Linked DNA regions of Drosophila melanogaster. The protein of the gene in region 1 interacts with the protein of each later gene in a biochemical or structural test. Each region holds a gene or a part of one and is shown in the gene's direction. Other genes may lie near its edges.

Evidence for each region. The genes of interacting proteins can lie anywhere in the genome.
Region 2: the proteins of Gbp1 (region 1) and mthl10 form a complex in vitro, tested with the Drosophila melanogaster proteins (one study listed by BioGRID).

What each region holds. Positions count from the first base shown.
Region 1 is NT_033778.4:17,134,774-17,137,451, forward strand, and holds Gbp1 (Growth-blocking peptide 1), read left to right. Parts: upstream 1-1,677; 5' UTR 1,678-1,724; coding exon 1,725-2,081; 3' UTR 2,082-2,130; downstream 2,131-2,678. Other genes in the region: CG11400 (uncharacterized protein), read left to right, coding at 1-31; Gbp2 (Growth-blocking peptide 2), read left to right, coding at 2,519-2,640.
Region 2 is NT_037436.4:332,989-340,878, reverse strand, and holds mthl10 (methuselah-like 10), read left to right. Parts: upstream 1-1,862; 5' UTR 1,863-2,392; intron 2,393-4,186; 5' UTR 4,187-4,196; coding exon 4,197-4,950; intron 4,951-5,021; coding exon 5,022-5,634; intron 5,635-5,679; coding exon 5,680-5,904; intron 5,905-6,049; coding exon of another isoform or gene 6,050-6,221; intron 6,222-6,484; coding exon of another isoform or gene 6,485-6,596; exon of another isoform or gene 6,597-6,620; intron 6,621-6,759; coding exon of another isoform or gene 6,760-6,922; exon of another isoform or gene 6,923-6,937; intron 6,938-7,238; coding exon 7,239-7,404; 3' UTR 7,405-7,563; downstream 7,564-7,890.

The sequences.
Region 1 (2,678 bases):
CGTAAATGATCATTGCCGAAAAATTGCCTAGATTAGTGCCATAAAACTGGGAACAACTGAGAATTAATTAACAAAAATTAAAAAAAAAATATATTAAAAATATTGTTATAATGGAGTACTTCCCAGATTTACTTAAATATTTGTAGCATCGATTAAACACAGTGGTTCTAGAATTCAATATTTGTTCTCTTGTCATTTGTGCACGTCTAAAATTCCCAGTTCTGGAATAGTCCCGCTAATTATATTGAATGCATTAGTCAAATCGTTCTATCATTAGCATATCAAAGATGCTTTTGCATATGTCCATATAATTTCATTCTCATGTGTACAAATATGGACATACAAATAAGGACATACAAATATGGACATTTAAAACACACCTCCTCAAAAGATTCTTAATTGACCAGCTTCTGCGTTCTGGGGCAAATACAATTTTATGATCCAGCATTTGCTGCAAAGGATTAGGGAAACCCAGTAAAATTTATCAGATCTATAAATATTAGTAATAGATTTACGAAATTAATGATAATGCTTAGATTTTAGTAATAAAAATTATAAATGAACTCAAATGCAGACATCTTGCTGCTGGTAACGTCTTCGTTAGTATATCAGTAAGTGTTTCAACGAATCAAATATTCTATACGGGAAACGGATATAATGAATATCTCTGCATACAAACTTATTTGAATGGGTAAGCTTTTCCCATTTTCAACTATAACCATTCCAAGTGATTCGCTCTATAATAAGGTGCTGAAAAACTGAATCACACTTAGAATAATTTTTAAATAATATTTTATAGTATCTACGACGGGATGAATATCTTAGGGTCTTAGAAACTGCTATAAATTCTTAAAAATTGAACCTCCACAGATTTAGAACTTAGTGCGATATTGAATGAAGTGAATGTGTTTACTTGAGCTTCCTTTTAAAGTTATCCTCTCGAAGTGAATCCGAATCTGAATCAGAAAGTGAGACAGAGCCGGAAACTGAGACTTCAGAGACTCTGTCGATTGCAAATAAACAAAACCAACTTTACGATGGCAATTACGCGGCGTCTTCCCTGGCCGAAGATGCTATTTTTGTTTGTCTGGCTGTGTCTGGCATTGGATACAAATCGTGCAGCTCGAGTGTCTAGCGATCAGTTTGCGTTTCCCTCAGAGTCAGATAATACGAAACCAACCATTGCTAGCGATTCCACTAGTTTGGGTATTGAGCCTAGAATTGTCCTGGAAACAACGCGAATTTGTCCAAACGGCACTACTCTGACAGTAAAAGATCGTTGCCGGAAAATTGCCTAGATTAGAGCCATAAAAGTGGAAAGAAGTGAGAATTAATTGACAAAAATGTAAGAAATAAATTCAAAAGTATTGAGTGTAAATTATTGCATTGCAAATCAACAAAAAAAAAAAAAAACGTTCGAAATAGCTGGGCACCAACATATTTCATTAAAAAAAAGCTTTATGATAATTCAGTTCTGTCAGTGTAGACTAGCTGAGATATATCTGAAAAGCTTAACGCTACTCTTCTGCTTTGTTTACGTTTTGTTTTCATGGGAGAGCTTATGAGCTCCCTTGCCATTCTTATTGTTGTCTCCCAACGATTTGCTCCCATCATTTATCTGGTTTCGCTGGGAATGAAAATCTGAATGTAAATGGCCAGCCAGTTGTTTCCGCGCTCAGTCATCGAAGCTTCATCGTAGCAAACGAGCGTGCATCTCGGAGATAATGTTGATACGTATTAATCCATTGGTGCTGTGCATCCTACCGCTGGTCTTCCTCCTCACCGAGGCGAGAACACGGCCCAGTGGTAACGATCGCATCGTTTTTCCAAAGGATGACGACGATACCAGCTCGAGATTCACATACTCGACCACAACGACAACTGAGGAACCCGCATCCACAATAGCACTCCGTTTGGAAAGTACAAACAGCACAGAACAGATCACCAGCGGATCGGAGGAGCTGGTTAATGAAAACACCACTGTGCTGCCAGTTATAGACAACCGAATATTGCTGGAGACGACCCAAAAATGTAAGCCTGGCTTTGAGCTGTTCGGAAAACGATGCAGAAAGCCGGCGTAATCTGTAGTCGCTAAGATTGATGTTAGCCAATAAAGTGATATTTGTGTAGAACTTTTGATTGATTAATGGTTTTTTCGGTGACTATTATAAACGATTCGGAGGCAGACAAAAATACCCATAGAAAACCCAAATCACAATTGTGGGAGAAACGCTATTGGGGGAAACTTAGCGTCGTGTAAAACGCAGTAATTTTAGTTTGGTGGCCATCACTGTGAGTCAGTGTCTAACTCAAACAATTCCCGGTGCATTCAGCTGCATCAGTTATTCCCTACTCTTCTGCTATGTAATTTGATGCCTTATCTGCTGTCATGAACTTGGCTTATCAGCGGCTCATAATAAATACTAAACTCGGTTAGATCGTCTGTTCTCGACTCGACAGCGCTGCTCAGTCTGTTTTGAATATTCAACGCTGCCGTTGGGTCGATTTCGTGTCGAAAATGTTTTTGCAACTCTTATCTATAAGGTTGGCTATGTCACTGATCCTTTTAATCAGTGGACAATGGACTTCAGCTCGTCCCCAGAATCCTTACTACGTGGAAAACGGCGGACATGGATATCCGTGAGTATTTAAAATTAATTAATAAGATTGTTATGATT
Region 2 (7,890 bases), on another chromosome or scaffold:
GCGCGAGCTGGGACAACAAAACAACAACAGGAAGAACTCTATTGCTCAGCAAGCCACTTTAAGTTGCCTACACTACGAGTATTCATCACCTGAACTCGGTAAGTGCACGCCGACTACTGGGATCGTTCATACAATATAATGGCTCCTAGCAATTCATTTTACAAATTAAATTGGACCTGGTTAGGATTGTGCTGACACAGGTGCCTGACTCAATTGGCAAGATTCGCACTTGTAGGACCGTGTACGATTTCAGGCAATTGTCATAAAAGTTTACTGGCCATTGCGTTTACGAGTTTGAAAATATCGGTTTAGAAATCAAAGCTTAAAACTACTAATTACGTGACAAATACTGACTGTTTACCCAACTGCTCCCGCTCGATGCAATTTTATTGAGTCACTGGGAAAATTGGTTATTATAGTGAAATGGCTGGCCACCCCGCAAAGGCCGCACCTTGGTCATTCAATCGGACTGAACAGTTTCTTTCGATTCAGAATTCGAATTTGTTAAATGTTGTTTACACTTTCGCACATTTGGCTGGGAATTGTTGTTGAAACATCTTGGAATATTGTTTATTGTTTGCTTTGAGGTTTGTTTATTTCACTACAATTTCCCCTAGCTTCTGAGTATTAAATAAAAATATATCATGCACCCCGGAGTATTATATAAACATATATAATACATGTCCAGTGCTTAAGTATATACATACATACATACATATCCTAGGTCACTTTACAAGTGCAGTTGCGACTAAAGTTTCATTCAATTGTTATTATCATTACATTAGAGATTCGGGTGGGGCCATCGTGTATCCCGCTGTGCATTTATATTCATGATAAGCCAAGTGCATGTACCAATTAATTAGTGGAATGATTTTTTAGTTACCGAACTGTGTTTCCCAATGGCTTTTCTATCTTGATTTGTGTCTTACAAAGAGATCTCACTCACAAAAACAAAACACATTAATCTCTAGGGGTTAATGTGAACAGTTCCCTTTAATGTCATGCATCCAACTACTTAGCACTCCATAAACTAAGTAATGTTTATACCTTACGAAGAAAAGTCTAAAAATATGAATTGAGCAACCACTAGCAGGGATTTCGCTTTCCAAATGAGATTTGATGCAGCATGCCAAGACTATTAATGGGATCCATTAATAAGTTAATTCATTTTGAAAACCATCATCGGTTCGTTTGTGCTGCCTTCTTCGTTAGGTCCCAGAATTTAATAGAAATACAATACAACAGGAACTTATGAATAGTATAGAAATAAGAACTTCTACGGGGTTCACATTTATGTGCCGTTTCAAAATGGCCTTTGACACGAGTTTCATCAAAACCGATGAGTGCTAACAGACACCCATGCTGACGGCCATTTATCTTCCCGGGTCTCGAGTTCCCGAACGGGATCTGTTGACTGTCGAGCCTTTCTCTCCCCTTGAAAGCCCCTTGGGTGTCAGTGGAATAATATTTGGCGAACTTGCCACCCGCCCACTCTAATGGCAATCAATTGATAGAACCGCCCGCCTTTGTTTACAATCGACGGACAGCAGAGGCATCAGCATCGGGGGTCTAAAAATACTCCAGTTGGAATTTTCTCACGAAATATTCGTACATGGGGTAGAGCAGCAGCAAAAGCAAGCCCGTCAATGGATTGGCTGGCTATTAAAAATTGTTTTGTTAAGTGTTTGTTTGTGGTGAAAAGAACACTGGACCCTGTAACCACTTCTTATCTAGAGAAGCGATAACACGCTGCAGTTCACCACAGTTCAACTTCGGTGTGGTGACTTCACATTATGGATTTCACACACGGTAGTAGTGTCTCCTGTCTTTGGCGATTAGTTTCGCTTCTCAAACGGACTGAAAACCGCGCAGCCCTCGGCAAGATAATGGGCATACATATGAGAAATATTTCCAATGATTTTGTGGCATACGTGATAAGCAGTAAAGTGGTTGAATAAAAACATCAACGAAAAAACCAGACAGTTTGCATAAAAACCGAATGCGGATAAAAAACGCGCAGATTATTATTTATGTGAGTTCAGTTCACTTGAGTTTAAATTCGTTTCCGTGTAGTTTACAACGCACATAGTATATGGTTATTGTTTTGTTCGATCATTTTCGATTTAATATGTGAATGGTGTAGCAGTTTGCTTAAATTGCGTATACGCCTTGTGACTCCGGACTGATAAATTTTCAATGTGTTCAATGCCTAAGGTTTTGCCAAAGTTAATTAAGAATTAATGGACGTTTAGGAGGGCTTAGAACCACTGGATGACTCAGAGAAGTTACTCAGCCACATCCTGACCATGGACAATTCGCAAACTGTGATAATCAACCAGATAATAAGCGAGTCCAAAGCCAAAAACCTAAGAAGTCGCATAGCCGGGCATCTGTAAGTAAATGGTTTACGTATTGAACTAGAAGTGGAGATTCAATTCGATAAGTCGCTCATGTCGCCATTCTACATATATAAATAAACAAGAAAGTCATACCTTTGTCAGATATTAGCAGGCGTCGTTTCCCAATTGACTTTATCTTATCGGTTACCGACCACATATAAGAAATTTGATACGAGTCGGCTACGAAATCGTAAACATATCTTAAGTTCGCCATCGTACTCCGATTAAAGTTCGTATCCATTAAACACCAGAATAGCAAAATTGGAAATGGGCTTCTCGCAATGGACTTGTGAAAGAAAGATATTGATCAAAACCAAATTACTGTCTTTCTATGTTGTTTAGTAGAGCGGGTTATAAACTTTCCCTATTCTGCACTCTCGTGCGTTCGAATTAAAAATATGCCATCAATCAGATGAGGATTGTATGTAGCGCTATTCGTAGAATCCCTTTCCTAACGTCATTAGTCATCCAATGATTGTAAGCTCCGATTTGAATATTTAATCTTTTCGTGCATTGATATTTTGAATTATCTTGATGTGTAATTCTTAGGGTAAAAATGTAGTCAAACAATTCAGCAAGAGTAATTGTTTGGCAATAAAAATATAAATAAACAAAAAACTTTAGAGCTTTGAAATAAAATTTGGAAGAAATATTGCTTTTATCAAATAAGTTTGGCGCACTCGCGAGGGCAAGGAAATTTCGAGAATCCGTTTATTGGAAAAGACCGCTGGCTATAATTCAATTTTATGGCTAATTGTTTTCATGATTTTAATGTTCCGCATGTTTTGATTATTTTTCAAACATCCGCAGCACTCATTCGCACATTTAAAGTGCGCAGATATATACGATTGAATTTGGTCCGCTGAAATTTCCCAAGTGCATGTGCTCAGCGATTAATTATGCTAATTTCCCACCGCAAGATAAGTGCTCTGGCTCTCCCTTCCCCACCCACTGCCAGTATTCATTTTCCCCATTAGCCAACTGTGCGGAGTTTAATGTGTTTGTCCTTCTCCACCCGTTCGCATCCCATAAATTCGGACTAATTTAGTGGCCCACACTCCTGACAATGCCGCAGGTTACCCTTCTGCTTCTCCCCCAAAGGCAAACAATCAGCGGATCAATGAATTAGTTGGTCCCCAAAGGCTAATGATACAAGATAAGATAGCGAGCGGTATAACTTTTCGCACTGGTAATGAATTTATGGACGGGCTCGTTAGCAGCGCTTGAAAAGTGGGCAGATCGGGATTGGTTTGGAGTGGAGTTCGGGGAGACTGTCACCTCTATTGACAGACAATGGCAGTTACTATCAATTTAACACGAATCCATAAATGTTTGCTCAGTCTGCACTCCCTGCGTGGTTGACCTTATGATTGATGTCCCGCGGAGAATGGCGCTCAGGTCGTGGGTAGTCCGCCCCTGGTTCCTCCCCATGGGACACGTTGGCTGCTAATTGCTTGTGACGCTATCCTGTTTCGCCTCCTTAATTCTTTTCGACAACCTGTTGTCCGCATAGATCATTCACCACTCGTCCCCGCTAATGGGTCCCTAGATGTTGCTCTATTGCCCAAATTAGTGAACTCACTTAGATAAACATTAAACGACTAACTAATCGGCAAATAGGTCTTAATTAGTGACTTCACTTGCTAAGGCTTAATTGCTGCGTGTTGCGACTGATGACTAACTGTAATAACTATATTCCACTGAATATTTAAACGTTAAAAGAATAAACGTTAAAGAATAATAACAAATATTTGTAATAATATTTAATAAAGATTTACGAATTTCAGAACCTTCATTATGCCGAAGAAAATTCATCAGCCTGGAGGATCCCTATACTGCGGAGTTACATTGCTGGGCGTCCTGTGCTTGGTCGTGTTCCGGTTGATTCCGGGGATTCCCTTCGGCACTTACGTTATGGCCGAGAGAGACCACTACCACACCATAGACGATCCAAATGTGCCCTGTAATTTCTACGATACAGTGAATCTGACGGGCCATAGGCTCTTTCCCAACGGAAGCTATGATTACTACGGCACAATAGTTCCCGCAGAATTGGTCGGGACGTACGACTACATACACAGCTCGCTAACGGAGCGCATAGAGGTTCGGGAACACGTTAGGGGATGCGTCTGCAAGTTCAAGTCCTGCCTGAATATCTGCTGCCCGTGGCGGCAGGTCTTTAACTCTGAAGTTGACGGATGCATAATAGACCACTCGGACAACCGAACGTGGCCAGATCCGCCTATGCTCAATATAACCTTCCGCAACGAGTCTACGATATTGGTCAACATGTTTACGCAGTTTGCTATCCAAAGCTTCAGACCCTGCCCCAAGATGTTTTCTCTGCAGCCAGAGACCAACAATTGGGATGATTATCTACTCTTTGAGAACGGATCCATGCTCCGTGTGGACGATAAACTGCTAATCAGGAAGAACGAGTTCTGCATGGTTCCGACATACGTCAACGAATCGGACATGTTCTACACCATACATCCGGCCAATTGTGACATGCAGGACGATCATAGCACGGTAAAGATTATCAATTCGTATGGTAAGTGAAACGATCACCTTTACTTCTTGTAAACAGCATTTTATTAATCCGACCGAAATTCCTTGCACTAGCCATGATGTTCTCCATTCCCTTCATGATGCTTACCATAGCCGTTTACCTATTGATTCCCGAGCTCCGCAACCAGCACGGAAAGAGCTTGGTCTGCTATTTAATAGGGCTCTCCGTGGGTTACTCCTCGCTGTGCTACGTGCAACTCTATCAAGTTGATGCCACTGGTGTTACATGCAAAGTGTTTGGATACACAGCATATTTCTTTTTTATGGGTGCCTACATGTGGCTAAGTGTCATTAGCTTTGACTTGTGGCACAATTTCCGAGGGACGAGAGGAATTAACCGATTCCAGGAGAAGAAACGCTTCCTGTTTTATTCGCTGTACTCTTGGGGTATTGCCCTAGTTTTCCTAGCCTTCACCTATTGCGCCCAGCAACTTACCAATTTGCCCGCGAACCTAAAGCCAGGTATTGGTGATGGTGTATACTGCTGGCTGGATATGAGCAACTGGGCAGCCATGATCTATTTCTACGGTCCCATTCTGGCGATCGTTGTTGCCAACACCATCATGTTCATAATGACGGCGATTAAGATTCACGGCGTGCAGCGCGAGATGGCCCGGATAATTGCGAGTGAGAACAGCACCAAGAACCTACGAACCGAGAAGGACAAGTGAGTGTCATCCTTTCAGTATTTCTTATCCACCTTCCCCTAAAGACGTTTTTATCGTGCTTGGTCCAACTATAGATTCGGCTTGTTCTTACGCCTCTTTCTCATAATGGGCATCACCTGGCTCACGGAGCTTATCTCGTACTTCGTGGGCAGCGACAAGGGATGGTCTAAGCTCTTTTATATCTCGGATCTGGCCAATGCGATGCAGGGCTTTCTCATTTTCATGTTGTTTGTAATGAAGAAGAAGGTCAAGCACTTGATCACAAACAGGTAAGTGTTGCTCTATTCTTAACTCCACGTTATGTCCTGTCCCGCCCACTGGGCGTTTGTCCATTCACACGACTCGTGACTCCCTCTTGTGTGTCGTGTCTCTGACTCTGTCCACCATCATATCTGTAACCCCGACTATTCTCAGAACGATACGTGTGCGCAGTCTGCGGCAGACTGAGAGCGTAACGATGGGACCGACTTCGTTCTCGATGAAGCAGCGGTTTATGGACGCCTCCAACCAGATCCGCAAGCTGGTGGTGATCCGCAACGCATTTGCCAATGGGTCCACCAGTGGTATTCATTCACACGAAGTCTAAATCGATTTCGTCGATTTCAGTAAGAAGGTCTCCTTTAGCTCGGTTGCTCGTTTGTTGTGGCCTTTGCTAACCCGCGCTTAAATCAAGAATATTGAAAATTTCGGGTTATATGATTCCTGTCTAATTCCACGTTCCTTAAATCTCTTGCACTAAGATGGAAGACCCATTGAAGATTATGGGAATACATATGCACTTCGAGTTCTGACAGCGCGCAATCTGTGATTATTTTAAACCTTATATGTTGTACTTATTTTCGTTGTCAGACTGCTTTCGATATTGCTTAAAAGCAAGCTCAACACCAACAGACACTGCCTGCAGACTAACTCTAAACCGAACACTGACAGCCAACACAGCACTGAATCTCCAGCCGCCTAGCTCGGTGACTCAGTCCGGTCGCGTCTTTGTAGCTACTAAACAGAAGTACCATTCCTAATTGCCCTGATCTAAACACAAACTTATGTTTGCATCCACCATGTGTGTCCATATGTGCATGTGTCTCAACATCAATTTGATCATCATCGATCGCTATTCATTGAAGACTCCTGGAGAAAAGGCGCTCGAATGGCCTGAGCTCGACCACTACCTCGACTTCCATCACTTCTGACGCGAATGTGCTGCCAAGAAAGCTGCACCTTAAGGCTGTTGACAAGGCCGGTAGCAATGCCACCGACCCGAGTCCGACCCCGAAGATAGCCATCTAATCAAAATGGTCACAGGTAATCCTCTGGAAATGGAGAAGTAGTTGACATTGTAGTTAACCCCAGTTGGAAGAAACCATTAGATAACCCTGATAACCTCTAACCCCTCGAAAACTAATCATAATGACCATCCACTTTTGTGTCTTGGTGAAGGTAACCTGTTTATATCCTGTAGGATCGCTTAATGTGTCTGCTTTTCCCTAACTTAAAATCCAAGCACTCAAACGAACCAATTCTAATCAGATTTACCGCCATTGTCTATTCCACGCTGCCCACGCAATGGACGTCATAACCACTCCACCACTTCACACAAACACAGATGCTCGAGTGTTCGCGATGGCAGCAACCAACGTCAGAGCCAGTACTCCACCAAGACCACGTCGAGCAGCGTGGCCAATCTGTCGCTGCACGAGAAGCCATCGGTGGAGAAGCCGCTAGTGATCAGCTCGAGCGTGGATCCTCAGAAAACCACCATCTTCCGCTGATCACAGCACTCGCAGTTGCCGCCATAGGCAGAGCATTGAATACCTCGGGATGCGTGCAGATCAGGAAGGACTAATCGCATTTATATTCATTTCGATCGGATCCTCGCATTATTGCGAACACTGCGTTCCTTTCTGTAGATAAAGATCACTTATTCATATTTTAGGACTACATATTCCTATCATGAGATTATTCTGTAATCAACATTTAAAGTCGATATCTATAAATTCGCGAAGTAGCATCCACATACGGATAGAACTTTATGAAAGACACTACTATAAGAGAAAGTCCCTATCCCCCAGAACTACCACGAAAACCCTTACCCACCCCACCCCGCCCAATTCTCTTTCATTTTTTAATGCCATGTGACCACGAACAACCTGATTAGTTGTATAAGAAATTTATGCAGAGCCATATCTACTGTTTATGCAAGCAAAATTGTAAGGTTCTCCGAACCCAGCTGAGAGATCAAATTTGTAATTCTCCAT